Linked DNA regions of Oryctolagus cuniculus. The protein of the gene in region 1 purifies or fractionates together with the protein of each later gene. This does not show direct contact. Links are inferred from orthologs where the notes say so. Each region holds a gene or a part of one and is shown in the gene's direction. Other genes may lie near its edges.

What was found.
Region 2: the proteins of CHD8 (region 1) and KPNA6 purify together in Homo sapiens (affinity purification with mass spectrometry; 4 studies listed by BioGRID and IntAct, with this or other methods). This does not show direct contact. The link is inferred for Oryctolagus cuniculus from reciprocal best matches to the Homo sapiens genes CHD8 and KPNA6.
Region 3: the proteins of CHD8 (region 1) and KPNA5 purify together in Homo sapiens (affinity purification with mass spectrometry; 3 studies listed by BioGRID and IntAct, with this or other methods). This does not show direct contact. The link is inferred for Oryctolagus cuniculus from reciprocal best matches to the Homo sapiens genes CHD8 and KPNA5.
Region 4: the proteins of CHD8 (region 1) and KPNA1 purify together in Homo sapiens (affinity purification with mass spectrometry; 6 studies listed by BioGRID and IntAct, with this or other methods). This does not show direct contact. The link is inferred for Oryctolagus cuniculus from reciprocal best matches to the Homo sapiens genes CHD8 and KPNA1.

What each region holds. Positions count from the first base shown.
Region 1 is NC_091443.1:53,508,609-53,516,352, forward strand, and holds part of CHD8 (chromodomain-helicase-DNA-binding protein 8), read left to right. Parts: intron 1-1,147; exon of another isoform or gene 1,148-1,240; intron 1,241-1,842; coding exon 1,843-1,965; exon of another isoform or gene 1,966-2,012; coding exon 2,013-2,902; intron 2,903-3,733; coding exon 3,734-4,105; intron 4,106-4,737; coding exon 4,738-5,120; intron 5,121-7,229; coding exon 7,230-7,344; intron 7,345-7,744. UniProt on the Homo sapiens protein: ATP-dependent chromatin-remodeling factor, it slides nucleosomes along DNA; nucleosome sliding requires ATP. Acts as a transcription repressor by remodeling chromatin structure and recruiting histone H1 to target genes.
Region 2 is NC_091438.1:140,304,858-140,313,203, reverse strand, and holds the start of KPNA6 (importin subunit alpha-7), read left to right. Parts: upstream 1-3,230; 5' UTR 3,231-3,245; coding exon 3,246-3,411; intron 3,412-8,346. UniProt on the Homo sapiens protein: Functions in nuclear protein import as an adapter protein for nuclear receptor KPNB1. Binds specifically and directly to substrates containing either a simple or bipartite NLS motif.
Region 3 is NC_091436.1:53,713,101-53,720,844, reverse strand, and holds part of KPNA5 (importin subunit alpha-6), read left to right. Parts: exon of another isoform or gene 1-251; intron 252-333; exon of another isoform or gene 334-520; intron 521-5,863; coding exon 5,864-5,997; intron 5,998-7,744. UniProt on the Homo sapiens protein: Functions in nuclear protein import as an adapter protein for nuclear receptor KPNB1. Binds specifically and directly to substrates containing either a simple or bipartite NLS motif.
Region 4 is NC_091435.1:78,651,661-78,659,404, reverse strand, and holds part of KPNA1 (importin subunit alpha-5), read left to right. Parts: intron 1-1,712; coding exon 1,713-1,844; intron 1,845-2,795; coding exon 2,796-2,884; intron 2,885-3,274; coding exon 3,275-3,374; intron 3,375-4,553; coding exon 4,554-4,717; intron 4,718-6,080; coding exon 6,081-6,159; intron 6,160-7,744. UniProt on the Homo sapiens protein: Functions in nuclear protein import as an adapter protein for nuclear receptor KPNB1. Binds specifically and directly to substrates containing either a simple or bipartite NLS motif.

The sequences.
Region 1 (7,744 bases):
TGGGATAGAATGGAGTGAAGAGAGAGGGGGTATTCCAGGCAGAAGCTACAGCATAATAGGTAAAACTAAGGAAATAGTAATCACATTAAGGGAACTATATAGTCTGGTTGCCATAGTTGGCCTGGAATGCAGGATATAATATAGGAAATGGTAAGGAAAAAGTTGAGAATATAAATTGGAAACAAAATGATTAATCTCTTGCAAAGAAAGTTTTTTTTAACAGTATTTTTTAGAGATTTATTTTATTTATTTGAAAGAGTTATAGAAAGAGCTAGAGCCAGAGAGAGAAAAGTCCTCCATCCACTGGTTCACTCCCCAAATGACCACAATGGCCAGAGCTGAGCTTATACGAAGCCAGGAGCCAGGAGCTTCCTCCAGGCCCCCACACTGGTGCAGGGGCCCAAGAACTCAAGCCATCTTCTACTCTTTCCCTAGGCCATAGCAGAGAGCTATATCATAAGTGGAGTAGCTGGGACTTGAACTAGCGCCCATATGGGATGCTGGTGCTGCAGGCTGGGGCTTCAACTCGTTGTGCCCCACGTTGGGCTGGCCCTGCAAAGGAAGTTTTTAATCTTAAATATGAGAAAGGTGACTTTAGAACATGATTTTTTTTTTAAGATTTATTTATTTATTTGAAATTCAGAGTTACACAGAGAGAGAAGAGAGGCAGAGAGAGAGAAAGAGGTCTTTAATCTGCTGGTTCACTCCTCAATTGGCCATAATGGCCAGAGCTGCGCCTATCCAAAGCCAGGAGCTTCTTTTGGGTCTCCCACATGGCGGGTGTAGGGGCCCAAGGACTTGGGCCATCTTCTGCAGTTTTCCAGGCCATAGCAGAGAGCTGGATTGGAAGTGGAGCAACCTGGTGTCAAACCTAGAACATGATAATATATATAGTTTAATTGATTTGTTAATTGCCAATTAGAATAAAGTTTGCAAAACTTGCTGAGTAAAATTGTACTATGATCTTGGTGATTTTGTACTGTGAGCTCTGTTAAAAGTGGTCACTTTTGACAGTATTCAGTAAAAATATCTAAAATATAAGGAAAATTTATAAGCCAGAACACTTAGCATGGGCATCAAATTTTTGCCCCAAAGTAGACATTTTCTATAAACTTTTTTTTTTTTTTTTTTTTTTTTGACAGGCAGAGTGGACAGTGAGAGAGAGAGACAGAGAGAAAGGTCTTCCTTTGCCATTGGTTCACCCTCCAATGGCCGCCGCTGATCCGAAGCCAGGAGCCAGGTACTTCTCCTGGTCTCCCATGGGGTGCAGGGCCCAAGCACTTGGGCCATCCTCCACTGCACTCCCGGGCCACAGCAGAGAGCTGACCTGGAAGAGGGGCAATTGGGACAGAATGCGGCGCCCCGACCGGGACTAGAACCCAGTGTGCCAGCGCCGCAAGGCAGAGGATTAGCCTAGTGACCCACGGCGCCGGCTTCTATAAACTTTTTGAAGTTCCCTCATCTATCCAGAAACTTTTATCTATATTCACTGAAGTGCTGATGGTATATTTTTAAGTTCTGCCAGTCTAAGAACTGAAAATAGAAGGTGAATTAATTTTAAATTTCCTAATCTCCACGTAAGAATGAAAATTGTGAAAAGGAATGGACAGATACAGCTGAATGCTCTTGACAGAAAGAAGCTTCAGACTGTGTTGGTGTAAGAACTCCAAAAGGGGGTAGTTTGTTTCTTTTAGTTTTGAAGCAGAAATGTGGGTGTTCTTTCTGTTATCTGCCTTTCCATAGATTTCCTTCTTTTATTATTTCAATGTATTAAATCAAGAGAAATTTTCTCCGAGGTCGCCAACTGCTTATTTTTCATTTGTGTTTGTATTCCTGCAACAGGACTTCCACCATCTTCCTCTGAAGACCTAGCCATCTTGTTCCATGAAGGTCAGGACAATCTGACATGCACATGTTACTTGCCTCTTTACTTGAAGATTAATCCTTTTTCCATTGTGTACATTTTTCTCTTGATAGGGGAGGGGAGGGGAGAACCAATACCCCCCCTCCCCTTCCCTTCCCCAGAACTTGGAGAAACAGCATCCATTACTTTCCCAAGATGGCAGACCCCATCATGGACCTGTTTGATGACCCAAATTTATTTGGCCTGGACTCTCTGACTGATGACAGCTTTAACCAGGTCACCCAAGACCCCATTGAGGAAGCACTTGGACTGCCAAGCTCTCTGGACTCCTTGGACCAGATGAACCAGGATGGTGGAAGTGGTGATGTGGGGAATCCATCAGCAAGTGACCTGGTCCCCCCACCAGAGGAAACAACCCCCACAGACCTTCCCAAAGAATCCGCAGCTCCAGCTCCTGAATCTTTAACCTTGCATGATTATACCACTCAGCCCGCCAGCCAGGAGCAGCCAGCCCAACCTGTCTTACAGACATCGACGCCAACGTCGGGACTTTTGCAGGTCTCCAAGAGCCAGGAGATCCTGAGCCAGGGGAATCCTTTCATGGGTGTCTCTGCTACAGCTGTTCCCTCTAGTACCACTGGAGGACAGCCACCTCAGTCAGCCCCTAAGATTGTTATTCTTAAGGCCCCACCAAGCTCCTCAGTCACTGGTGCCCATGTGGCACAAATTCAGGCCCAAGGTATCACCAGCACAACTCAGCCCTTGGTGGCTGGCACAGCCAATGGTGGAAAAGTCACTTTTACCAAAGTGCTAACTGGCACACCCCTTCGACAAGGTGTCTCCATTGTCTCTGGTAATACAGTGTTGGCCGCCAAGGTCCCTGGGAACCAGGCTGCTGTTCAGCGCATTGTCCAGCCCAGCCGACCAGTAAAGCAGCTGGTCCTCCAGCCAGTGAAGGGTTCAGCTCCTGCTGGAAACCCTGGGGCCACAGGGCCCCCTCTGAAGCCTGCAGTTACACTGACCTCTACACCTACCCAGGTGACTTGATTGAAAGGGGGAGGTGAATTTTGGATTTGTAGTGGGCCTAGCAGTTTTGTGAGAGTGAGTGTGCATGAAAGCTCTCTCTGGGAAACCTTGTCTGTGCATTTTATCAGTTGGTGTTGACAGTGACGTGCTTATTTCTTGCCAGATGAAAGCAGTTAATGTTAACATATTTTCTGCACTTACACTGCATGTTTCTACTGTGTCTACCTGGTGCTGAATCAGACAGACACAATCCCTGTGCTTAGAGAGCTTAGTCTGTCAGGAACCATAGACATTAAGCAAAAATTTACAACAATGTATGATAGAAAGTTTCATGAAATATAGGATCCTATGCCAACAAAGAAACATCTTTGGCAAATTATTTATTTATATTTGCAAGACTTGTAAAAGCATTATTTGTTTTCCTATGTATTTTACTAAGATCATCCCCTCTAACTTTGCTCAGTAAAAAGGCTAGTTCCGTCCTCTGAATAAAGGGCCAGAAGAGTTGAGATAGGCAGACAATACTAAAATAAATAGAACCAGTGGGAAGAAGCCACAAGGAGGCAGACTTCAATATAAGGTCTTTTGTTCTAAAAGATTTCCATTAATGTGAGATGACTGTCTTAGAAGGTAGTGAGCCTCCCATCCATTAGGAGTTTTTAAAAAATAGCCTGGATATTTGCTGGGCAGAGATGTTGTGGATAAGTAGATGAACACAATGTTACTATGTCTTCTGACCCTTAATTTTTGTGACTCTAGGATGAAGAAAACTGGTATAAATATTTCAGGGTATACCATTCTTTAATATTGTAACTCTCTTGCAATTTCCTTTTTTCACTTTAGGGTGAATCGAAACGCATCACCCTGGTCCTCCAGCAGCCACAGTCTGGAGGTCCCCAAGGACATCGGCATGTTGTGCTAGGGAGCCTACCAGGCAAGATAGTATTACAGGGCAACCAGTTGGCAGCCCTAACTCAAGCCAAGAATGCCCAGGGGCAGCCAGCCAAAGTAGTAACTATCCAGCTGCAGGTGCAACAGCCACAGCAAAAAATCCAGATTGTACCACAACCTCCATCTTCGCAACCACAGCCCCAACAGCCACCTGCAACCCAGCCACTGACTCTGTCCTCTGTGCAGCAGGCTCAGATCATGGGACCAGGACAAAGTCCAGGACAAAGACTTTCAGTGCCACTCAAGATGGTGCTGCAGCCACAGGTGAGAGAATTACATAGTAAGGGAAAAAAGCAAACTTCTTAGACCCTTGCTGTTGCTTTCAATAGCCACTTACTGTTGCTTGTGGCATTATTCTAGATTTATACTTCTGAACTGAGATGGAGACTTTTATTTCTTTCACCCATGGAAATCTTATTTTAATTATATCATGGAAAGATCAGAGACTCACTGAGTTTAGGATGAGATATGATTTTCGTATTTGAATGTTTCACATACAGTCTTTCCTGGTATCATTTTGAAGTGAAAACAATTAGAAATTACCCTTCTGTGAAGGTGAAATAAATAATCCCTCTGCCCTCCAGGAAATAGAACTTGTATTTTTTTTTCTTTTTTGCCAGAGGCCAATAATGGCTATATTAATTACAATTTTTCTAAGATAATTGAAGTAGGTATTGCTAGGAGAGCTTGACAAAGGGATATTGAAATTTGATTTGACAGAATTTTTGTCTTTTCTCACCTCTTTCCTGCCAAAAAAACACATTTTAAAAAATATGTCTAGATTCAGAGCCTGGTTCTTGAGAAACTAGAGAACTGGTTTTAGCCTGTTTCAGAACTTGTTTTATTGAGGCCATTTAACTAGACACATTGAAATTTTAGCATCTTTATTTCTATAGGCTGGCTCTTCCCAAGGGGCCTCTTCTGGGCTCTCTGTAGTTAAAGTTCTAAGTGCCAGTGAAGTGGCAGCTCTGTCATCACCAGCAAACTCTGCTCCTCACACGGGAAAGACAGGAATGGAGGAAAACCGAAGGTTGGAGCACCAGAAGAAGCAAGAGAAAGCAAATCGGATTGTAGCAGAGGCCATCGCTAGGGCTCGTGCCCGGGGTGAGCAGAACATACCTCGTGTCCTGAATGAGGACGAGTTGCCCAGTGTTCGACCTGAGGAGGAAGGTGAGAAGAAACGTAGGAAGAAGAGCACTGGGGAGAGGCTGAAGGAAGAAAAGCCAAAGAAAAGCAAAACATCTGGAGCCTCCAAAACAAAGGGCAAGAGTAAACTCAAGTGAGTAGCCTTGCTATTTGGCTGGGATATTTGTGGGTAATGCACTCATTTTTCAATAATGTGGAGAAGAACTTGTGTTGAGTCACTACACAGTTCAAGGTGTCCTATCATAGAAAATAAGGCCTTTATTTTCTCTGTCCCAGTGTTTATATGATTAAACAGAAATTTACAAGTTAGCATGTTTTAAAAGGAAAACACTGGGGGCCAGTGTTATGGTGTAGCGGGTAAAGCTGCCGCTTGTGACGCCGGCATCCCATATGGTCTCAAGTTTGTGTCCTGGCTGCTCTACTTCCAATCCAGCTTCCTGCTAATGGTCTTAGAAAAGCAGCAGAGGATGGCCAAAGTGTTTGGGCCCCTACCACTTATGTGGGAGACCTGGAAGAAGCTCCTGGCTTTGGCCTGGCCCAGACTGGATCATTGTGGCCCTCTGGGGAGTGAACCATTGAATGGAAGATCTCTCTCCCTCTCTCTAATTCTGACTTTCAAATAAATAAATCTTTAATATAAATAAATAAATAAGTGGAAACCACTAAGGCACAGGAAAGATAGCCAATCATTGTGTTGGGGGTTACCTTTAAAAGCTATGACTCTGTATTTATATATTCTCAATTTTGTATCACTGAAGTCTGAAAGTGATTTCTTATGACCCCTTTTACACCCACTCTAGTGAAAAAGAAAAAGAACTGCTAGAGATATAGCCACCCTGTTTTTGTGACTTGGAGAAGATTTCAGTAATCAGTGTCTGTCTCAGGCAGTGTTAATGAAACTGGCTGCCATGTTAGTGTCTTTCTGTCTGTCTGTCTGTCTCTCTCTCTCTTTAAGATTTATTTATTTATTTGAAAGGCAGAGCCAGAGAGAGAGAGAGAGATCTTCCATATGCTGGTTCACTCCGCAAATGGTTGCAATGGCTGGAGCCGTTCCCATTCAAAGCTGAGAACCAAGAGCTTCTTCCGGATCTCCCACTCGGGTGCAGGGGCCAAGCACTTGGGCCATCTTCCACTGCTTTCCCAGGCCATAGCAGAGAGCTTGATCAGAAGTGGAGCGGCCGGGTCTCAAATTGGTGCCCTATGGGATGCTGGCACTGCAGGCAGCAGCCCCTCTCTTCTGTCTTAAATTTGAGAGTTGGAGAGATCCCATCTACTGGTTCACTCCCCAGATACCTGTAACAGCTGAGGCTGACCTGTGCTAGAGCTAGAAACAGAATTCTGTTCTCCCACGTGGATGGCAAGGATCAATCACTTGAGCTATCACTGCCTCCCAGGGTATGCATTGATGAGAAGTAGAGCCAAGATGCAAAATCATATGCTAGATCTCCCACATGGGTGACAGGGCCCAAATAGTTGGGCTACTTTCACTGCTTTTCCAGTTGCACCCCAGGGAGCTGGATCAGAAGCAGAGCAGCCAAGATTCAAATCCACGCTTATATGAGACACCAGCATTGCAGGCAGTGGCCTAACCTGCCTGTGCCGTGATGTTGGACCACAACCTTCTAGTCTTAAACCAGCATTCTTTCTATTTTATGCTACCTTTCTTCAGGATTTGTGAACATACTGGTGGCAGTGATTTGTCAGATCTAGTATAAAGATCATTCAGTGGTTTACAATACACATATTTTCTTTTTTCGAACACCATATTTAATATCTGAATGTATCATGGACTAAATATCCAAATGCTTCTGTCTGGAAACTTGGTATATGATAGTTCAGATTAACTATATTTTTTGTTGTTTTTTCTTTATTTTCACTTTATTTGAAAGGCAGAAAGACTGGAATACAGAGAAAAAAGAGAGGTCTTCCATCCAGTGGTTGACTCCCCAAATGCCCACAAAGCCAGGGCTAGCCAGGCCAAAGTCAGGAGGCAGGAACTCAATCCAGGTCTCTCATCTGGGTGGCAGGGACCCAAGTACTTGAGCCATCATCTGCCGCCTACGAGGGTGTGTGTTGGCAGGAATGCAGCTGAGACTCAAACCCAGGCACTCTGACAGGGGATGTGGGCATCCCGGGCAGTGTCTTAACTACTGTGCAAGAGCCCACCCTATAATTATGTTGGGTTTTCACCCCTAACTTTTCCTTGCCCTCACTAAAAATGAGTTTGATTTTTCCTTCTTAGCACCATCACTCCTGTAGTGGGTAAGAAGAGAAAACGTAATACCTCATCTGATAATTCAGATGTGGAAGTCATGCCTGCACAATCACCCCGGGAAGATGAAGAAAGCAGCATTCAGGTAAAAGTATCCCTACATAATTGAGTACTGGTTGGGCATCCTTAATCCAAACATTCAGACTCTGAAACTTTTCAGTGCTGACGTGATGCCACAGGTGGAAAATACCACACCTGATCTTGTGTGACAGGTTGCAGTTAAAATGCAGGTGCACTAAAAATATTGTATAAAATTACCTTTAGGCTAAATGCCAAAGATATATGTAGAACATGAATTTTGTGATTAGGCTTAGAGTCCCATTCCCATGATACCTCATTATATATATATGCAAATATTCCAGAATCCAAAAAAGACTCCCAGATCTGAAACACTTGTCCTAAGCATTTAGGATAAAGGGAATTGAACCTGTAGAAAAGTAATTTTTAATTATGTCAAACAAGCCAGAAATAGACTATAAATCCAT
Region 2 (8,346 bases), on another chromosome or scaffold:
CCTGCCTTTCAAATAAATAAAATAAAATTTTTTGATTTGTTTTATGTATTTGAAAGTCAGAGTTCCAGAGGGAGGGAGAGAGAGAGATCTTCCATCTGCTGATGCACTTCCCAGATGGCCACAACATCTGGGGCTGGGCCATGCCAAAGCCAGGAGCTTCGTCTAGGTCTCCCATGTGGGTAGTGGGATGATCTTCTGCTGCTTTTCCCATTAGCAGGGAGCTGGATTGAAAGTGGAGGCCGGCGCCGTGGCTCACTAGGCTAATCCTCCACCTTGCAGCGCCGGCACACTGGGTTCTAGTCCCAGTCAGGGCGCCGGATTCTGTCCCGGTTGCCCCTCTTCCAGGCCAGCTCTCTGCTGTGGCCAGGGAGTGCAGTGGAGGATGGCCCAAGTCCTTGGGCCCTGCACCCCATGGGAGAGCATGACAAGTACCTGGCTCCTGCCATCGGATCAGCGCGGTGCGCCGGCCGCAGCGCACTGGCTGCAGCGGCCATTGGAGGGTGAACCAGCGGCAAAGGAAGACCTGTCGCTCTGTCTCTCTCTCTCTCTCTCTTTCCACTCTGCCTGTCAAAATAAATAAATAAATAAATAAAATAAAAAAATAAAGTGGAACAGCTGGGACATGAGCCAGCCCCAAATAAAATAAAGAATAAAATTAAGATGAATGGAGATGTATGGTTTATAGATCAGATATAGTGTGTGAGGGGGTGCATTTTATGTCCCTTTAAAAAAAAAAAGATTATTTATTTGAGAGAGTTACACAGAGAAAGGAAGAGTCAGAGAAAGAGATTTTGCATCTGCTGGTTCACTCCCCGAATGGCCACAATAGCCAGGCAGAAGCCAGGAGCCAGGAGCTTCTTCTGGGTCTCCCACATGGGAGGAGAGGCCCAAACACTTGGGCAATCTTCCATTGCTTTCCCAGGAGCATTACTGGGAAACTGGATCAGAAATGGAACATCCAGGACTTGAACCAGTGCCCATATGGGATGCTGGCGTTGCCCACGGCAACTTAGCCCATTAGGCTACAATGCAGGCTCCCATAACAGGTTATTTTTATCTCCATTATCTCTCCTTCTGGTGCCACTGAGTAATCTTTAATGTATTGGGATGAGTTGTAAAGTTTACTAACTATAGCATCCAACAGTTGGTCTGCCTGATTTAAAGTCTTAGTTCAGCCTTGTGCCAGGGTAGCTATGATAACATTTCATTAGAAAGCCTTTCTTTTTAAGTAGGAGTACTCATTCACCAAGACATGGATTGGATCATAATTAGAAAAGAGTGATGACTTCATGAAGAAAGTATAGGCAGGTTCCCCAGTGTCTTACATAGAGCTCTTTGGGGCTCTTCTAGGTAGACTCCTTTAAGTGATTGGTAATTTTGGTATACTTTTCAAAGTATAGACCATGGTGTGTCGGGATGGTCGAGCGGTCTAAAGCACCAGACTCAAAGTATAGACCATGAAAGTAAGTCTTCAGTTAGAAAAGTGCTAGAGTCAGTAGCTGTAAAGAACACCTTAAAAACACAGAGTGTGTTATTTCAATCTATACATACAAGGACTCTTCAAAAAATTCATGAAAAAATTCATTATTATAAGAAAGCTGTATCAAAATAAACATTTTCTTTTTTTAAGATTTATTTATTTATTTGAAAAACAAGGTTACAGAGAGAGCGGGAGAGATGGGATAGATCTTCCATCCGTTGGTTCATTCCCTAAATGGCTGCAACAGCTAGGACTGGGCCAGGCTGGAGCCAGGAACTTATCTATGTCTCAAGGGAGGCAGGAGCGTAAGTACTTGGGCCATCCTCTTTTGCTTTCTCAGGTACATTAACAGGAAGCTGGATTGAAAGTGGGGCAGTAAGAACCCATATGGGATGCCAGCATTGCAGACAGCAGATTAACCTGCTGTACCACAACACCAGCCCTCCATTTTCTCATTAGTTTTTGGAAGTATACTCATATTTGTGAGCTTGAAGGTGTAATGACATCATTCTTAACCGATACTCACAGTAGCTGGGTTATTTGTGAAATGTTTTTCTGAGAAAATGCATGTTAAAAATCTTAAGAATTGGCCGGCGCCGCGGCTCACTAGGCTAATCCTCCGCCTAGCAGCGCCGGCACACCGGGTTCTAGTCCCGGTCAGGGCGCCGGATTCTGTCCCGGTTGCCCCTCTTCCAGGCCAGCTCTCTGCTGTGGCCAGGGAGTGCAGTGGAGGATGGCCCAAGTCCTTGGGCCCTGCACCCCATGGAAGACCAGGAAAAGCACCTGGCTCCTGGCTCCTGGCTCCTGCCATCGGATCAGCGCGGTGCGCCGGCCGCAGCGTGCTGGCCGCGGCAGCCATTGGAGGGTGAACCAACGGCAAAGGAAGACCTTTCTCTCTGTCTCTCTCTCTCACTGTCCACTCTGCCTGTCAAAAAAAAAAAAAAAAAAAATCTTAAGAATTTCACATTTTTAAGACATACCGGTAATTAAATGGAGCACTATAGCAATTTGGGACTCATGTGTTACCTGTTCTCTGTTTTGTTTTGTTTTGTTTAGTTTGCTAGGGCTACCATAACAAAACACCACAGACTGGGTGCTTTATTTTCTCACAGTTCTGGGGCTGGAAGTCTAAGGTTAAGGTGTCAGCAGGGTTGGTTTCTTCTAAGACCTCTCTCCTTAGCCTCTGGGTAGCTGTCTGCATATTTACTTGGTGTTTTCCTTCATAAAGATAGTAGGTACTGGATTAGCAATGACCTCTGTAACCTTATTTGCCTCTTTAAGGGCTTTAATGAAAAGAATAATTACCTTCTGAGGTACTGGGGGTTAGGGCTTCATCGTATGAATTTAGCAAGACTACAGTAGCTCAGCCATTTCAGGGTCCATACCTATTTTGTCTTCTTGTTGCTACTCCCATGGTTCTAAAAGCTTAGAAAATGCTTGGCAGCATTAGATATGTATTCCATATATTCCCTAGAAATAAGAGGTATAACTTCAGTGACCTTTGATTGAGTTCCTTGACTAAGAAAACCCAAAGCTATCTAAGACAGAAAAGATTTTTGATGTGGATTTTCTAGATCCAACCCCAGCAAGTAAGGGATTGTACCATGGAAAAAGTCCCTGTACTGCTGGATCCATGAAAGATAACCCAGTCTTCTTTTGGTCGATTCCACATGTGCTTTTCTGCAGATGTTCCTTTCACACTCCCTCCCTTGCCTGCTTTTCCAGTGAGGTCATAAGCAAGTATTTGTGATAGTTTCTTGTCACCATGGTGACTAAATCACAGCCTGGTTTTCATTCCAACTTTGCTGTCAACTCTGCTCGAAGGTTGGGAAAGCCTCTGGGAGACTCCAGGTTCAGACTCATGAAAAACCACGTGTCAGGTACCAGGGTAGAGGCGTTCACAATGTTATTCATGAAAAATCATGCGTCAGGTAACAGGGTAGAGGCGTTCACAATGTTATGTTCAGGAATCTGTGCTCCGCCTGTTAGTCTCCAGGCACAAGGATAATCAGGACCTAAAGGATGGTCACTTGAATCCCTTGGCATTTATTTATTTCTTCCTTAAGCTGGGCCTCTTTTTTGAAATGCAGAGAGAGAAGTTCCATCTGCTGGTTCACTCCCCAAATGCCCACAACAGCCAGAGCTGGGCTGGACTGAAGGTCCATATGGGTCTCCCACATAGATAACAGGGAACCAAGCACATAAGCCATTGTCTGTTGCTTCCCAGAATACATTAGCAGGAAGCTGAATCAGAAACAGAGTACCTAGGACATAAACTGGCACTCTGATTTGGAATGTGGGCATTCCAAACAGGAGCTTAATCCACTTATCCCCCCCCCCCTATTTAAACAACAAATCCTCTTGATTTCCTCAGAGATGGATTCAGCCTGTTCTCTTTAACTTCAAGTTTTACTTTTCTTTCAACCTGATGCCCTTGTAGACTACTTTTCCTCCTTCACTCCTTCACTATGTGCTTTCTTGATCCATTTCCATTCCCAAAGTCAACGCCTGCTTGAAGAACCAGGCCAAATGTTATCTTTCAGAGATTACTTTTTTTTTTTTTTTTTTTTTTTTTGACAGAGTGGACAGTGACAGAGAAAGACAGAGAGAAAGGTCTTCCTTTGCCGTTGGTTCACCCTCCAATGGCCGCCGCGGCCGGCGCGCTGTGGCCGGCGCACCGCGCTGATCCGATGGCAGGAGCCAGGAGCCAGGTGCTTCTCCTGGTCTCCCATGGGGTGCAGGGCCCAAGCACTTGGGCCATCCTCCATTGCACTCCCTGGCCACAGCAGAGAGCTGGCCTGGAAGAGGGGCAACCGGGACAGAATCCGGCGCCCCAACTGAGACTAGAACCTGGTGTGCCGGCGCCGCAAGGTGGAGGATTAGCCTAGTGAGCCGTGGCACCAGCCAGAGATTACTTTTCAAACTCTGTTGTCACAGTCACCCTTACACCTCCAGAAAAAGGCAGTATTAGTTTTCCCTTTCAGTGTATCTAAAAAACTTACTTTTCATCCGTTTTGCAATACTTTTATTCACTGTTTCAGATTACAGGTTGAGAGGACTGGAAATACTGATCAAGGGAGAACCAAGTTGGTGAGGCTTCAGGCCCTTCTCCCCATGCTTCAACACTGTCAGCATCACTTTTATCTGGTTTTACACATTGAGATTCTTTCGTTTTATAATTTGTAAATGTCTCTGTTTTTATTTATTTGAAAGACAGTGGAGACAGAGATCTTCCATCTAGTGGTTCACTCCCCAAATTCGCACAATAGCCAGGGCTGGGCCAGGCTAAATCCAGAAGCCAGGTGTCGCATCTGGTCTCCTTCATGGGTGGCAGGGACCCAACAACTTGAGCCATCATCTGCTCCTGCCTCCCATTATGCACATGAGCAGGAAGCTGGATCAGAAGCAGAGGTAGTACTGATCCCATGCCCTCTGATATGGGGTGAGAGTGTCCCAAAGTAGTGGCTTAAACCACTGCATCATAGTGCCCACCCCCACATTGGGATTCTATGACAAATTTTTTTTAATTTAAAAAATATATTTTTATTTATCTGAAAGGCAGAGAGACAAATCTCCAGTCTGCTGGTTCACACCCCAAATAACCACAACAACCAGGGCTGGGCAAGGCCACGGCTGGGAATTCACTGTTAGTGTCACATGTGAATGGCAGGGACCCAAATACTTGACCATTGCCTACTGCTTCCCAGGGTGCACATTATTAAGGAAAGATGGATCAGAGGTAGTACCTGGATTTGAACCTAGGCATCCCATCTGGCATCTTCACAAGTGACAAAGGCCCACTCTGAATCAGATTTAATTGAAAGAGGTGCACTGCAGTTAAAATTTTTTTTAAGGGCCGGCGCTGTGGCACAGCAGGTTAACACCCTGGCCTAAAGTGCCGGCATCCCATATGGCGCCAGTTTGAGACCCGGCTGCTCCACTTCCAATCCAGCTCTCTGCTGTGGCCTGGGAAAGCAGTGGAAGATGGCCCAAGTCGTTGGGCCCATGCACCTGCATGGGAGACCCGAAAGAAGTTCCTGGCTTCTGGCTTTGGATCGGCACAGCTCCAGCCGTTGCAGCCAACCATTGGATAGAAGTGAACCATTGGATAGAAGACTTCTCTCTCTGCTTCTCCTCTCTCTTTGTAATTCTGACTTTCAAATAAATAAATAAATCTTTAAAAAAATTTTTTTGGCCAGTGCCACGGCTCAATAGGCTAATCCTCCACCTGCGGTGCCAGCACACCGGGTTCTAGTCCCGGTTGGGGCACCGGATTCTGTCCTGGTTACTCCTCTTCCAGGCCAGCTCTCTGCTGTGGCCCGGGAGTGCAGTGGAGGATGGCCCAGGTCCTTGGGCCCTGCACCCGCATGGGAGACCAGGAGAAGCACCTGGCTCCTGGCTTCGGATCAGCACGGTGCACCAGCTGCAGCGCACCAGCCGCAGCAGCCATTGTGGGGTGAACCAATGGAAAAGGAAGACCTTTCTCTGTCCCTTACTGTCCACTCTGCCTGTCAAAAAAAATTTTTTTTGTTGTAGTGAAATTGACTACTTCAACCATTTTTAAAAATGTTTATTTTCATCTACTTGAGAGGTAGAGAGAGAGAAGTATCTTCTACCCAATGGTTCATTCCCTAAATGGCTACAACAGCTGGGACTGGGCTAGGAACTCAGAACTACATCTGGCTCTTCCATGTGAGTGGCAGAGACCAAAGCATTTGAGCCATCATCTATTGCCTCTTAGGATACATTAGCATGAAGCTGAATCAGAAGTGCAGAAGAGGCAGCTGGAATTAAAACTAGCACTCCAGTATGGACTGTGGGTGTCCCAAGCAGTGGCTTAATCTCCCATACCACAGTGACCACCCCTCAGCCATTTTTAAATGTACATGTATGATACAGGAATATTTGTAAAATTTACAAGTGCTATGTGGCCATTCCCACTAGTTATTTTCAAACTTTATCAAACCGTATAAATTCTGTACCATTAAGTGGTAATGCCCATTTCTCTTCTTTCTAGTGCCAAGTAATCTCAAATTTTAATTTCTGTTTTTAAATGAGTTTGACTCTTCTGAGTGCTTTATTATATGAAGTTCTATAATTTGTCCTTTTATGTCTTTTTTTAAAGATAAGTTTGCTTATTTATTTATTTATTTATTTGAAAGGCAGAGTTACACAGAGGCAGAGAGTAAGTCTTTCCATATGCTGGTTCAGTTCATTCGCTAAATGGCCACCACGGCTGGAGCTGGGCCAAACTGAAGCCAGGAGCTTCTTCTAGGTCTCCCACGCAGGCGCAGGGGCCCAAGGACTTGGGCCATCTTCCACTGCTTTCCCAGGCCATAGCAGAGAGAGGGATCAGAAGAAGAGCAGCCAGGACTCAAACCAGCGCCCGTATGGGATGATGGTACTGCAGGCGGTGGCTTTATCTGCTATACCACAGCACCGCCCTCCCCCGCTTTATGTCTTGCTTATTGTATTTGGTATACTGTCTTCAGAGTTCATCTGTGTATGTCAGACCTTCATTCTTCTGTCTAATACTCCATGAAATGGATATACTACATTTCATTTATCTGTTCATCTGTTGATGGATGTTGGGTTGTTACCACACTTGAATATTGGCTGTAAGTATGTATCGGCTTGAGTCCCTGTTTTTTGTTTTGTTATTCCATTCTAGTAGGTATGAAGTGGTTTCTTTTTGTGATTTTGATTTGCATTTCCCTAATAACTACTGATGTTGATCGCTTCTCAGCCTTTTGGGTAAGATCAAGTATAATGATGTTGAGGGGCTAGTGCTGTGGTATAGTGGGTAGAGCCTGCTGCTTGCAGTGCCGGCATCCTGTGTAGGTGCCAGTTCAAGTCCCGGCTTTTCCACTTCCAATCCAGCTCTCTACTGTGGCCTGGGAAAGCACTGGAAGATGGCCCGAGTCCTTGGGCCTCTGTACCCGCATAGGGGATATGGAGGAAGCTCCTGACTCCTGGCTTTGGATCGTTGCAGCTCTGGCCATTGTTGCCATTTGGGAAGTGAATCAGCAGATGGAAGACCTTTCTCTCTGCCTCTGCTTCTCTGTAGCTTTATCAGATAAATAAAGAAATCTTAAAAAATATTGTTGAATATATTTTTTTAATGTTTATTTGAAAAAGTCAGACAGAAAGGGAGAGAGAGAGAGATCTTCTGTCTGCTGGTTCACTCCCCAAATGTCTGTAATGGCCAGAACAATCATTTGGGGGGGGGGGGGTAAAGATTTTTTTAAAAAATTTCTTTCTTTATTTGAAAATCAGTTACAGAAAGGCAAAGGCAAAGAGAGAGAGAAGTCTTCCATTCACTACACTAGTTCATTCCCCAAATGGCCACAACGGCTGGAGCTGGGCCAGTCTGGAGCCAGGAGCCAGGAGCTTCTTCCAGGTGTCCCATGTGAGTGCAGGGGTCCAAGAATTTGGATCATCTTCCACTGCTTTCCCAGGCCAAAGCAGAGAGCTGGGACCCAAACCAGTGCCTATATGGGATGCTGGCACTGCAGCAAGGTACTTAATCAACAACACCACAGCACCAGCCCCAGGTAAAGATTTTTTTATTGGCACACATTGTGGTGTAGTGGGTTAAGCTGTTGCCTTCGATGCTGGCATCCATATGGGCGCCAATTCAAGTCCTGGCTGCTCTACTTTTGATCCAAGTCTCTAGTACCTGGCTTTAGCCTGACCCAGACCTGGTCATTGCAACCATTTGGAGAGTGAAAGATTTAATTTGCAAGGCGGAGTAACAGAGAGAGGGAGAGACAGACAGATCTTCCATCCACTGGTTCACTCCCTAAATATCCACAACAGGCTTGACTATGCCTGGAACTGCAGCCAAGTCGCTCATGTGGGTGACA
Region 3 (7,744 bases), on another chromosome or scaffold:
TCTAGTTCAAGAACTTTCTTTTTTTCTTTTTTATTCTTTTTTACTTTCTTCTTTGGAAGGTCACATTCTCCAAGCATAATTTTAGGACAGGCATGACTTAAATGTCCACTTTCTCCACATTCATAGCATTCGGATTTATCAAAGTAGTTTCATCTTAGGATGAATTCAGCTGCTCTTTCCTTGTCGGTAGCAATGCTTGCTTTAATCACTCTACCAAAGAACTGTTGTTTATCGCTCTGGTGCAGTTTTTTATTTTTTAAAGATTTTATTTATTTATTTGAGAGGTAGAGTTATAGACAGTGAGAGGGAGAGATAGAGCTCTGATGCAGTTTTGCTCAGTCTTTATCCAAAAACAAAATGAATGCAACCCCTTTACTCTTCCTGGTATCTTTATCTTTCATTATAGTAACCTTTACAACTTTGCCATACTTGGAAAATATCCCATATAGGTCATTGTCAGGGAAAAGGGTAAGTTGGAAACACACATGGTGCTTTTACTTGGGACCAATCCACCACTCATTTCTTCAAATGGGGGTTGGTGGTGTGGGAGCCTTCTGCCAAGCAGGCTCACTCCTGACTCCTGGTGCACCCTTGCTGTAGCCTGGGTTTGCGGGTGCTGGATAAGAGCAGGCACCAAGAAACAGACCTGGGCGGCCGTGGGCCCCGGTGGCGGCACACTGAAAGTCCACATTTTTCAACTGAATTGCAAAATCGTGTATCCTCTCTTTAAGGCTTCTCACAAGCATTTCTTGCTCAGGTACACTAGATTTCTTACAGTTCTGTGGCTGTGCTAGGCTTCTTCAAACACTTTGCTTTGTCTTCCATCCTCTTTGCTTGAAATGAATATTTTCTCACACATGTAAAGTAATACTTTATAAAAAAAAAAGAAATGAATATTTTCTCCCTTCTCACTTTCCATCCTCTTCCCTGGCAAATTTCTGTTTATCCTTTAAGATAGGGTAACCATGAAGCCTTTCAGAGAATCCTAAGGTATACAGCTTGTTGCTATATCTTCAGTGCTCTCACTGAAGTTAATGTGTATGTGTTAATGTACTACTCACAATGAGATTCACTAGGGCAGGTGGTTAGCATAGCAGTTTAGAGTCCACTTGGGACACCTGCATCCAATGTTGGGATGTTTGGGTTTGAGTCTCAGCTCCACTCCCAATTCCAGCTTTCTGCTAATGAACACTTTGGAAGGCAGCTGATGATGGCTCGAGTGGTTTTGGCCCTGTCACCCATGTGGGAGACCTGAATTGAGTTTTGGCTGCTGGCTGTGGCTTGGTTCTACCCTGGCTGTTGTGGGCATTTGTGGAGTGAACTAGTGGATGAGAGATCTCTGCCTGCCTGAATCTCTGTATCTCCTTGCCTTTCAATAAGTAAATTAAAAAAAAATTGCCAATTTTTTTGGTGTGTTTCATCTACTTCACAGATGGAAGCTGGATGCCAGCCTCTTCATTTCCTGTGTTTACTTAATAAGCTGATTAATCACAGTGTTCTATCTGGTTGGACATGAGTATATCCTCTGAATTTTTCAGAATAACATATTAACTAGTCACTAATGATCTCTCACGTTAATCTTAAGTAGACTGATTATTTTCTTTGTGTGTAAATGTAGCATAGGTTATAATATGAGCATTTTGATATTCATATCTTATGTCTAAATATAAGGTAATTCTGTTAGATTATATGGAAGTTTATAATTCATTCTTTAGAAGTAAAACTAGTACATGTTTCAGATGTAAAATTTTATATTATAATATGTATAATAAAATATTTGTATTAATGTTCATATTTTAAGATATGTTGAAATAAAACTAAAAATGAAATGCATAAATATTTCAGTATTTCAAAAGAGCTAATTATACTAAAGTACTAAAAAACTGGTATTGCAGTCATAACACAAGTCATGGCCCTTGTGGCTTTAGTTCTTAAGGCCGTGTTTTAGTGAAAGAAACCAGGCTCCAATAAATGGTTGAGATGTGCTTACTCAATCCTAATACTTTTAATTGAAAAGAAGACACTTCAGTGCTGGCTGGTTTTCGATTTTTGCCAGAAGCTATAATTTAGAAGGTTTTTTTGTTTTGTTTTGTTTTAAGCACTATTAGTTGATGATTATATCCTGACTCACAGTGAATGTACAATGCAACCTACTTAAGAAAGGTTAAAATTGGGGGGAGGGGGAGAGATGAAGGATGTTGCATCTTACAATCAGTGAAATAAGGGGACTTTGTGTTTAGACCAGAATCTCTTATTTGTTTAATATTGCTATGATATGGCCGGTGCCACGGCTCACTAGGCTAATCCTCTACCTTGTGGTGCCGGCACACCGGGTTCTAGTCCCGGTCGGGGTGCCAGATTCTGTCCCAGTTGCCCCTCTTCCAGGCCAGCTCTCTGCTGTGGCCCGGGAAGGCAGTGGAGGATGGCCCAAGTCCTTGGGCCCTGCACCCCATGGGAGACCAGGAGAAGCACCTGGCTCCTGCCATCGGATCAGCGTGGTGCGCTGGCCGCAGCGCGCCGGCTGCGGCGGCCATTGGAGGGTAAACCAACGGCAAGGGAAGACCTTTCTCTCTGTCTCTCTCTCTCACTGTCCACTCTGCCTGTCAAAAATAAAAATAAAAATAAATTGCTGTGATATGCATATAATTTGTCCCCACCAAAACCAATATTGAAATTTAGTTGCCAATGGAGGGGCTTTGGGAGTTAGGGCCTTTAAGAGGAAGTAATGTGTTTTGCAGGAATGGATTGATTCTCAAGAGTGGGTTATTATAAAATGGGTCAACTCCTTTGTCTTCTCTTCATTGCACATACCTACATGCCCTTCTGCTTTTCATCACACATGGAGAAGCATGAATCTCTCCTGAAAGCTAAGGAGATATTGGTGTCTTCTTAAGTCCTAGAACTGTGAATTAAATAAACCTCACTTTTCTTTATAAATCACCCAGTCTTGGATGTTCTGCTAAAGCAACAGATATGCACTGAGAAAATTAGCACTAGGAAATGGAGCTTTTGCTAAGACTAAATACTCGAAAGTGTGAAAGTGGCTTGGGAACTGAGTAATGGGCAGAGGTTGAAAGAGTTTAGAGGAACAAGATGATTATGGGTGATTCTGATGAGAGCTCAGAACACAAAAAGACTAGAGAGATTCTGGAACCTTTTATAGACTGCTTAAATGGTAGTGACCAGAATGTTGCTAGAAATGTGGACATTAAAGGCCATGCTATTGAGATCTCAGATGGAAATTAGGAGTATCATATTGGAAATGGAACTGCAGGCTATCATTTTTAGAAAGACATTGATGGCATTTTGTCCATGCTCTTGGCTTTATGGAAGGGCAAATTTAAGAGTTCAGAAGATCTAGTGGGGGAATTTTCTAGGCAAAATATAGAGGGGGCACGTGGTTACTTTTAACTTCCCATGCTGAGATTCAGAAACAAAGGAGTGGTTTAAAGACAGAGTTTGGAATTAAAAGAGAAGCAGAGTGGAAAGATTTGGAACATACACAGCCACCTGATGTGAAGGAAAAAACTTGTTTGGGAGAATAAAGCAAGGATATTTGTTCAGATTGAAGGGAGTTGCACACTGTATTCATCAGGATAAAGGGAAAGAAGACGTGAAGGAATTTCAGAGATCTTCCAAGTTTTCCCACCTACATCATAGGCTCAGACTATTCAGTGCTGCCCAGAGGTACACTAAACAGTGCCATGTTTTGAACTGCCTCTCAGAAGGCACAACCAGTAAGCCTTGGTAGCATTCATATGCAGGTGGTGCTACTTCTGCAGGTACAAGTATTCAAGAGCTGTGGAGGTATAATAGCCTTCCCCTAGATTTCAAAGGATGTATTAAATTGCCTGGGAGTCCAGGCACAAACCCACTGCTGAGCTGAAGTCACCACAGAACATCTGTACTAGGGCATTGCCCAGTGGAGCCAGGGAATTGGGATCACTCTGTGAACTATAGACTATTGAGCCCACAGTGGTGTACAGCACCTACCTAGAAAAGATACAGTCAACTGACTCCAGCTCTAGACATCAGCCACATGAGCCAAGACCAGAAAAGCTGAGTGTGTGCTCAAGGTTTTCTAAGGTATTGGGTGTCTCCACCCAAGTTGTCCAGGAGGTAACAGATGGTATGAAAATGTATTTGCAGTTTTGAGGTTTAATGTCTACTCTCCTAGTAATATACTTGCTTTAGGCCAGTTACTGCTTTTTTGGCCAGTGTTTCCATTTTGGAATGGTAACGTCTATCTTATCCCTATTCCACTGTTGTACATCAGCAGTAGGTAACTTGTTTTGATCTTATATGCTCATAGCTGGAAGGAGTTTGCCTTAAATCTCAGAAGAGACCTTGAACTTTGGACATCTACATTGTTGCCAGGATGAATTAACATGTTTGAGATTTTGGGAATGGAATTGTATTTTGTATGTGTGAAGGATATCAATTTTCATGGGCCAGGCCCAGGTTCTATGGTTTGAGTGTAGTTTGTCCCCAGTGAAACTGAGATTTGTTTGTCAGTATATTGGTATTGGGAGGTGAGTCTTTTTTATTTTTTCAACTTTTATTTAATAAATATAAATTTCATAAGTACAACTTTTGGATTATAGAGGTTCTTGCCCCATACCCACCCTCCCTCCCCCAAACCATCCCACTTCCTACTCCCTCTCCCATCCCATTCTTCATTAAGATTCACTGTTAATTATCTTTATATACAGAAGATCAACTATATACTAAGTAAAGATTTCAATAGTTTGCACCCACACAGACACACAAAGTATAAAGCACCATTTGAAGACTAGTTGTACTGTTAATTCTCATAGTACAACACCTTAAGAACAGAGATCCTACATAGGGAGCAAGTGCACAGTGACTCCTATTCTGGATTTAACAATTGACACTCTTCTTTATGATGTCAGTGATCACCCAAGGCTCTTGTCATGAGCTGTCAAGGCTATGGAAGGAAGCCTTTTGAGTCCACAAACTGACATTATTTAGACAAGGCCATAATCAAAGTGGAGATTCTCTCATCCCTTCAGAGGAAGGTACCTCCTTCTTTGATGGCCCCTTCTTTCCACCAGGATGCCACTCACAGAGATCTTTCGTGTAGGTCATTTTTTGCCACAGTGTCTTAGCTTTCCATGCCTGAAATGCTCTCATGGGCCTTTTAGCCTGATCCAAATGCCTTAAGGGCTGATTCTGAGGCCAGAGTGCTGTTTAGGGCATTTGTCATTCTGTGAGTCTGCCAAATTTACATTTCCTTTTCTCTTATTCCCACTTTTATTTTTAACAGGGATCAATTTTCAATTGTATTTCAACACCTAAGAATAATTCTGTGTTAAGCGTTCAACCAATGGTATTAAGTAGAAAAAGAAAATACTAAAAAGAATAAAATAGTAAGCTGTTGGGTGGTGAGTCTTTTAAAAGGGATTATTATCTTTCTGATAAGACTGGATTAGTTCTCAGGGAAAGAGGATTGTCATAAAGCAGGCCAACACCCTTGTCATCGTCTGTCTTCTACACTTGCCCACTTTCCTGTCTCCTTTTCTGTTATGTGTGCAGTAGCTAGTGGCCCTCCCTGAAAGCCTTCCAGCCTTTATGATTGTGATTGAAAATAAACTTCTTTCCTTTATAAATGCCCAGTCTTAACTGTCTGATATAACAGCAGAAAATAGATAAAGATAAATATGTTACTTCTAAAATATTTTATGACAATCTTGTGGGACTGTGAGAGTGTGTTCATCGTTTATGTTTTCAGGATGGGTTTTGTTGGTGTATTCAATCAGTAGGCTTGAATTTAATTCCCCTGGAGTAAGCATCTGTGTTATTTAGAGAATTATCAGTATCTGTTTTCTTCTCTCCACTTAAGATGCCATGGCTAGTCCAGGGAAAGATAACTATAGAATGAAAAGTTACAAGAATAAAGCGCTAAATCCTCAAGAGATGAGGAGAAGAAGAGAAGAAGAAGGAATACAGCTTCGAAAACAAAAGAGGGAAGAACAGGTAGGTGTATTTAAATATTTAATTGTGGGGGCTGGCATTGTGGCTTAGCTGGTTAAGCCACAGTGTGTGATGCTGGTATCTCATGTTGGTGCCTGTTCAAGTCTTGGCTGCCCCACTTCCAATCCAGCTCCCTGCTAATATGCCTAGGAAAGCACCAGAAGATGACCCAAGTCGTTGGGCCCCTGCACCCATGTGGGAGACCCAGATAGAGCTACTGACTTGAGGCTTTGGCCTGGCCCAGACCTGGATGTTGTGGCCATTTGGAGAGTAAATGAGCAGGTGGAAGATCTCTCTTTGTCTCTGTAATTCTACCTTTCAAATAAAATAAATTAACTCTTAAAAAATAATTAGTTGTATTTAGCAATACAGTTTTTCAGAGGTTTTAAAAGTTTAATTAGTATTGCTGAATGTTAGACAATTTTAAATTAAAAAGTATCTTAGGAAATTGAATGTAGCCAATGTATTTTTAGTTTTTTAGACTCCAGGAATAATACATTCAAATTCCTCTACTATGGGGGCTGATGTTGTAGCTTACTAGGCTAAGCCTCCGCCTTGGTGCCAGCATCCCACATGGGCACCAGTTTGTGTCTTGGCTGCTCCTCTTCTAATCCAACTGTCTGCTATGGCCTGGGAAAACAGTGGAAGATTGCCCAAGTCCTTGGGCCCCTGTACCCAGGTGAGAGACCCTTCTGGCTCCTGGCTTTGGATGAACACAGCTCCGGCCGTTGCTGCCATTTGGGGAGTGAAACAGTGATGGAAGACCTTTCTCTCTGTGTCTCTCCCTCTCTCTGTCTGTAAATCTACCTCTCAAATTAATAAATAAATTCTTTTAAAAAAATCTTTTATTGCTTTTAGTCACTGAGAGGAATGACTTTTCTCTGTTATTGATAAACCTTTATGTGATCACTGGTAAGAAATTTTTACTTTTGAGTCTATTTAGTCATTTCTGTTTATCATAAAATTTGTTCCCCAAAATATGTTAATTATATTTATTTGCTGTTTTGTGTTTTTCATAGCTCTTGCCCTGAAGTCACTTATAGTCATTTTTTTAAAAAAATATTTATTTATTTATTTATTTGAACCTCAGAGTTACACAGAGAGGGACAGATGGGGAGAAAGATAGAGATATCTTCCATCAGAGAGAGTTCTTCCATCTGCTGGTTTACTCCCCAGATGGCAGCAAGGGCCAGGGCAGGGCCAGGCTGAACCCAGGAGCCAGGGGCTTCTTCCAGTCTCCCACATAGGCGGTAGGGGCCCAAACACTTGGGCCATCTTTTGTGGCTTTTCCCAGGCCATTAGCAGGGAGCTGGATTGCAAGTGGAGCGGCCAGGACTCAAATTGGCACCCTTATGGGATAAAGACAATTACAAGCAGTGGGCCAACCTGCTATACCATGATGCTGGCTCCCTAGTCATTTTTGTTTACTACCCATACTATTCCTCTTGTAGTCTCCTCAGCCATATGTCTTAATTTCTCTGTTTATTCTTTGTATATGAGACCAGAAAATCATTTGAGAGAGTGTATCTCATGATACACTTAAATTGATAAATATTTATAAGTGAGAGGATATGCTCCACATGTACATGAATTAAAACTGATGAAGGAAGCAGAAAAATACATGTTTTAGAACTATGGTTACTGGCCGGCGCCGCAGCTCAGTAGGCTAATCCTCCGCCTAGTGGCGCCGGCACACTGGGTTCTAGTCCCGGTCGGGGTGCCGGATTCTGTCCCAGTTGCCCCTCTTCCA
Region 4 (7,744 bases), on another chromosome or scaffold:
AGCAACGGCTGGGGCTGGGCCGATCCAAAGCCAGGAGCCAGGAGCTTTCCTCTGGGTCTCCCATGTGGATGCAGTGGCCCAAGCGCTTGGGCCATCTTCTGCTGCTTCCCCAGGCCATAGCAGAGAGCTAGATTTGAAGAGGAGCAGCCAGGACACGAACCAGCGCCCATACAGATGCTGACGCCACAGGCAGAGGATTAACCTATTCTGCCACAGTGCTGGTCCCCATAATTTTCTTTATATCTTGTATTTACTAGTGCTGTAATGCTATATTAAGTTTTATTCATTTACTCCCATTTTTATCTCCCTATTAAGAATGTTCTTTTCAAAAAGTCTTTTTTTTTTTTTTTTTTTTTTTTTTTGACAGGCAGAGTGGACAGAGAGAGAGACAGAGAGAAAGGTCTTCCTTTGCTGTTGGTTCACCCTCCAATGGCCGCCGCGGCCGGCGCACCACGCTGATCCGAAGGCAGGAGCCAGGTACTTATCCTGGTCTCCCATGGGGTGCAGGGCCCAAGTATTTGGGCCATCCTCCACTGCACTCCCAGGCCACAGCAGAGAGCTGACCTGGAAGAGGGGCAACCGGGACAGAATCTGGCGTCCCGACCAGAACTAGAACCTGGTGTGCCGGCGCCGCAAGGCGGAGGATTAGCCTAGTGAGCCGTGGCGCCGGCCTCAAAAAGTCTTAACCTCTGTGCTTGGTTTATAGCCTTCACAATTACTGGAAACTCTTAGGTGTTCATGCTCTTTTCTTTTAATTGTATACCTGTTAACTCTTTTTGACCTACCTAACATTTAAATATCTTTTGCCCTTTCACTGTGACTTTATTTTATCTGGTTTAGACTAATATTCTGTCCCCATTTCACTTTGCCTGTCTTTTAGAAATTATTTTTTATTAGATAATATGCATAATGCAAGGCCAAAAGTCACAGGAGGCTTTTCAGTGAAAACTGTTTTTCCCATCGTTACTCCTCTGTCACACATACCATGTGGGTATCAAGTACTTACAGCTTCTTGTGGCTCCTACATAATCTATGCAATAAATTAATGCATGACTTCTTCTTAACCCGTAAGATGTTACAGTATGATGATATACACTGTTTTGATTTTTTTCTCCCCATTTATACCTTTGAAGATAATTCTGTATCAGCATATGAAGCATTCCCCCCCCCCCTTTTTTTTTTACGATTTATTTATTTATTTAAAAGGCAGAGAGTTACAGAGAAGCAGAGGCAGAGAGAGAGAGAAAGGGCTTCCATGTGCTGGTTCACTCCCCTTTGGCTGCAATGGTTGGAGCTGGGCCAATCCAAAGCCAGGAGCTTCTTCCGGGTCTCCCACACAGGTGCAGGGACCCTAGCACTTGGGCCATCTTCCACTGCTTTCTCAGGCCATAGCAGAGAGCTGGATCGGAACAGTGGAGCGGCCGGGACTCAAACTGGTGCCCATATGGGATGCCAGCACTGAGGCGGTGGCTTTACCCACAGCCCTGGCTCCCCCTTACTTTTTTTTATGGTCTCATGTCAACTCTACCTTGATCTGAAATTCTAGCCACCCTGATCATTTCTCTAGGTGAAGCTATTTCTTCTGAGGATTCTTCTTTTAAAATTCAGACAGAATTTAACTGATAGGTTCTGTGTATAGCAGGCTTTTTTATTTCAAGTAATCAAGCCATTAAGTTATAATAAGGTAATACAAATTATTTTTATCTTTATAGTTTGAATCTGCTTGGGTACTGACAAATATTGCTTCAGGAAATTCTCTTCAGACCCGGATTGTGATTCAGGCAGGAGCTGTGCCTATCTTCATAGAGTTGCTAAGCTCAGAGTTTGAAGATGTCCAGGAACAGGTAAGAAGTGAAACAAAGATAAGCAGATGAAAGAATAAAAATTTTCCCTTCAGTCATACTCAGGGCCCAGGTTTCACCACTTGGCCACATTAAATCCTTGGTTAGTCACAGGGACTTTTTTAGAAATCTAACTTAACCAAAAATAGAAAATTTCTTTGTGACTCTGCACACAGTTTCTCCTAGGCATATAAAATCATTTTTCCAATCCATCCCTGAATTCCTTAATCCTATAGATAATGCTTTTTTAGACCACGTAAGCAGTTATTAATAGAACTTTTTCTTGCAGGAATCTCTAGTGTTAGTGTTGATTGAAGTGGAAGATTTTTGCCATTGTGTACAGGAAGTCATAGAAAACGTGAATTATTTCTGGTTATTGCCAACTTTATGAAGTTAATGGGGATAAATTACAGCTAAATGGGCATTTTTTTTTACAGCTTTATTAAGGTATCCTTGACATAGAGTGAATTGCATATATTTATAGTGCACAGTTTGATAATACAAATGGAACCATCATTATGATAAAAATAATTACATCTGTTACCCATAAAAGTTTAATAAAGTTATCTGGATTTGATTGCTCTTCCGTGTTTACATGCTTAATGAGCTGAGTAAGCCATTTGAATTTCTGACTTCTAACAGTCGAGGGTTATATGGAATGGCTGCTTAGGCAAGGGGATTCATCCCTAAGATGAAGATTGTAAAAAATGGTTCTTTACCCCTCTGTTTATTGTGAAATTTAGAATATTATTGATCATCTTATCTCAGTTCCACAACTGTTTCATTTGGTTCCTTGATGAATGAATTGGGGAATATTAATAATCCATGTATAAAATGTTGGTTAACGACTCTATAACTTTAACAGATGTTATTGTGATATGCTGGAATATTTTTTGAAAGACTTATGAAGGAATTAAACTATGTAACTGTCCTTAATTAATAATTCTTTCACAGGCAGTCTGGGCTCTAGGCAACATTGCTGGAGATAGTACTATGTGCAGGGATTATGTCTTGGACTGCAATATCCTTCCTCCTCTTTTGCAGTAAGTTCTTTCTTTTTGCTTTTCTTTCTTTTGAAAAATAAAGATATGGAATTCCTCAGAAAGTAGTATCTCTTTGGAAATCATTTTGGGCTTCCTGTTAATTTTCTTTCCAGATGTTTTCTCGTTAACTTGTTCAGATCATTTGTTCAAACACCTGTTTTATTCCAGTGCCAAAATTCTGAATTAGTTACATTATAATTAAATAAGTTATTCCACAGGAAAACTATTTGAGGATATCTGTTTATCAGTAACATTAAATAGTGTTTATATTTTATGCCATCAGAGAATTAATGTCTATTACATAATTTAGTATCATATATATTATATATGTATATATATATATCTATATCTATCTGTATCTACATATATATATATATATCTTGCTTTTAGGTTATTTTCAAAGCAAAACCGCCTGACCATGACCCGGAATGCAGTATGGGCATTGTCTAATCTCTGTAGAGGGAAGAGTCCACCACCAGAATTTGCAAAGGTGAGGATTTGCGTGGGAAATTAGGCAGAAAAAATGCAATTGAATAATATGGCAACCAATATTAGTGTTCGAAAGTGCAGCCAGGACTTAAACCGGTGCCCATATGAGATGCTAGCACTGCAGACAGTGGCTGTACCCACTACGCCACAGCACCAGCCTCATCCAGTATTAATGTTTATCGAAAGATTATTTTGGTAAAATTTAAAATAATAAAAAGGTTTTTCAGTTTCTAGAAAAGGCGGACTCTTTGTATTTATTTGTTTTTATTTGGAATTATTTTTTCTCTGTTTTAAAAATCCCTGAATTCATCTTAAAACCCCCTAGCATTTTTTTCTTTGTAACAAACTTGGTATCTAAAATACCAAGTTTCCTAGTTCCTTTACCTCTTCAGCTTACAAATAGTGCATTTTGAGGAAGAACCTCATTGTAAGAATTTGCTTCTGAAATTACTTTTCTTGAGCTTTGACTGCCTCATCATAATAAGCTGCAAAATTTGTTAGATAAGAAGGTGGAGACTTCCAGACCCGGACAGGCTGGGCCTGTACTACGCCCCTCATAAGCAAGAAGCAGCTATAGAAGATATGATTCTGTGCCCTTCAACATCCCTTAGGATTAAGAGAATGGAGTTTCTGAGAGGGTAATGATGTAGGCAGGTATATAGGATAAAATCGATCAGGTTTGTTAACTGGAAGACCACGCCTTCACCATGCCCCTGTGTGACCTCATGCCCCTACCTGGCCACACATGTGTGACCACCAGCCAATCAGACTTGCCTTTGGACGTGGATTAAAGGCTTGGGACACGGTGGGCCCAGCCTTTTTTTCAGGGGGTGGGGGGACTTTTTGCCATTGTGGGCCCTGGCTGCTCTACATTTCCTGGCCTGCATGCTCCTCCACATGGCTGGTTCCTGGTACATAGTATGAATCCAAATTTCCCTCTCTTAGATGGGGCCTGCACTCTCCTATGCATTTCTCCCACTGAATAAAAAGCTTAAAAACTTTAAAAAAGCTGCAAACCACTGGCAGCATTCCTAAGGATGGAAATGCCACTTAGTCACTTGCTGCTCCATTTCCAGAAGTGTAAATCACCTAGTGTATGACTTACTGCCTTCTGGAGTGTTTCATCTCCTTTGTCTTTTATCCTGTTAAATTTCATAATCATTCTATCTTCCTTTCACAGGTTTCCCCCTGTCTGAATGTGCTTTCCTGGTTACTGTTTGTCAGTGACACTGATGTACTGGCTGATGCCTGCTGGGCCCTTTCATATCTATCAGATGGACCCAATGATAAAATTCAAGCAGTCATTGATGCAGGAGTGTGTAGGAGACTTGTGGAGCTACTGATGTAAGATATCATTCAGAAAATGCCTGCTTGCCCCTTCTCCCATGCTACTAGTTTTCTATTTGCTAATAATTAAATATTAGTTGTATATTATACTGATAAATAGTGCTTTTAGGCTAGTGTTCTTTTGTTACTTGTTTATGTCCATATCAGATTGTTTTGGTATTTTGGTTTTAAAGAATCTCTCAGGTTTCTGCTCTAGCAGTCCTTCAGTGGAAACATTTGGAACACTGATCTGTATAGTTTCAGCTCATACTGGATAACTTCAGACCAACCACTCGGTATCAAAAGGCATATTGCCACTAAAAATTGTCATTCCTATTCTGTCTTCTTTAGCATTTAGATTAGTGTCAGACATTTAATCTTATTTTATTCTCTTTGGGGTGCCTTTGATGATGTAATGGAAGATTTGCTAGTAATGTAAATGATTTGAGACTGTTTCAGATTTTCAGGTAGTCCAATAGAAGAAAAAATAAAATAATTTAATGAAGGAAATCTACAATTATAAGGAGCATAAAATTTAATTGAAGTGCAAAGCAGATGCCAGGGGACATTGTCTCACATGTGGCATGTGGATTGGGTTACATAAATTTAATGCACAAAATACAAGACTTTGGGTTTATAGTTGACCATAGGCTGGGTGCAGATTAGTAACATTGTGCTGTTGTGGATTAGAAGCAACATGATGGTTCAGGACTCAGTAGTATAGCATTTAAAATCTGGAAAGTTATTGTATTCTTTAGTCATTAGGTTCATACATGCTTTAAACCATTTATTTTTTAGTTATCAGATATTAAGTAAGAAGGAACTGCTACACTTTTGAGAAGGTAATCAATCTCGTTAGAGGAGAGAGCAAATAGGACCTTGAAGGAAAGTTAAAGGGCATTATTTAGCTTGACATTAGGACTTAATTTCTTTCTTCAAATGTATAACAAAAGCTTCATATGGATGGTTTTTTGACCAGTGAAGACATAGTAGCTTTAGTAGAAAAAGTTCAGTATTGAAGTATGAATTCTACCTTGATTTTTCAAGGTAGTTTAAGTGTCTAGTCTGTGAAGACTAGACAATTTATATAACTTAAAATTGTGCGAATAATCACTGTTGCTCTCCATTATCACAAAAAACCAGGTAATAAGGACATGAGACCTGTGTTAAAGAAAGTGAGGGTAAATTTGAAATCCACTTGATCTGGGAAAGATTATTAGGAAAGATTTGCAAGTTTTTCTCCAAAAATAAATTCCATCATCTTGATAGTACCTTTCTGCCCTTAAATCCTATCACACATTATTTCTTTTGTATTTTGGTCCTAAGGAAAAGAGACCATGGTTAGAACTGTTGGCTGTAATGTTTCTTTTTATGATTACAGGCATAATGATTATAAAGTGGTTTCTCCTGCTTTGCGGGCTGTGGGAAACATTGTCACAGGAGATGATATTCAGACACAGGTATGAATAAGTGGCAGTTTGTTTTTTGTCAAAACAATATGTTGAGCTCTGTTATTTCTTTATAATATTTAATTCTATTTAATTAGGCCAATATTTGTTTAAAATGTTATCTTGGGCATGTACTCTTATAACCTTCACTATCTCTTGACCTATTGTAGCACTTTTGAGTCCCCCTATGATAATGACTTTTCTTTGGGTCAGGCAGATTTGTCTCACTCTACTCTTGGAATGGTTCTTGTAAGCATCAAAAGTTCTAGAAAAGATCTTTTTTCTGAGTTAAGGTTTTTTTTGTTTGTTTGTTTGTTTTTTCATTTATTTGAGAGGTAGAGTTACAGTGAGAGGGAGAGACAAAGAGAAAGGTCTTCCCTTCACTGATTCACTCCCCAAATGGCTGCAAAGGTTGGAGCTGCCCCAATCCAAAGCCAGGAGCCAGGTGTTTCTTCCTAGTCTCCCATGTGAGTGCAGGGGCCCAAGCTCTTGGGCCATCCTCTACTGTATTCTCAGGCCACAGCAGAGAGCTGGATTTGAAAAGGAACAGCCAGGACTAGAACCGGGATGCTGGTGACATGGGAGGAGGATTAACCTACTGCGCCGCGGTGCTGGCCCCTCTATCATCTTAATATCTTTTCTGATAGCTTCCTCCTTTTGTATATGAAAAGTCTTCCTATGTGAGGAAGATTGTTCCCTCCTGTTTTCTGAAGTCCATTCAATTTTACCGTCAGACAGGATCACTTCCAGTGATAATTGTAGCCATTTTTCTTTCTAATGTCTCAGATGCACCTATGGTATCTTTAAATTGTCTTCTAGGTTTCTGAGATATTTATTTTGTTTTTTTCAGCCTCACCGACTATTTCTCCTCAGCAAACTCCTTTTCCTTTCCTCTTGTTTGTGGGCATCTTCTAGGGGGCAATCTCTCCACTTCCTTCATAGGCCTTATTATTTATAATTTCAGTGATCATCCTCATATAGATGGATTGAGAATTGTGAATTGGGTTTCAGCTTTAGCTTTTTTCCTTTTTTTAAATGAGAAAAGGCTGAGAAAGAGAGATCTCCCATCTCCTGGTTCACTCCCCTAATGTCTGCAACAGCTAGGACTAGTCCAGGCTGAAGCCAAGATCCTAGAACTCAGTCCTGGTCACCCATGTGGGTATCAGGGACCTCTGAATATAAAAGTAGTATTTTTATTATAAAAAATTTATTATATTTCCTTTTTATATTTTGACTATATGTTCATGTGTACATTTATTGTATATAGTCATATAAGGCTCTTGGTGTTCACTTAACAGTCTGTTATAATTTCCTTTGGTTAGATATCTTAGAGGTAGAATTATGTATGTCAAATCATGGATTTTTTTTTCTTTTCTTTTTTTTATTTATTTTTATTTTTTGACAGGCAGAGTGGACAGTGAGAGAAAGAGACAGAGAGAAAGGTCTTCCTTTGCCGTTGGTTCACCCTCCAATGGCTGCCGCGGCCGGCGCACCGCGCTGATCTGATGGCAGGAGCCAGGTACTTCTCCTGGTCTCCCATGGGGTGCAGGGCCCAAGCACTTGGGCCATCCTCCACTGCACTCCCTGGCCACAGCAG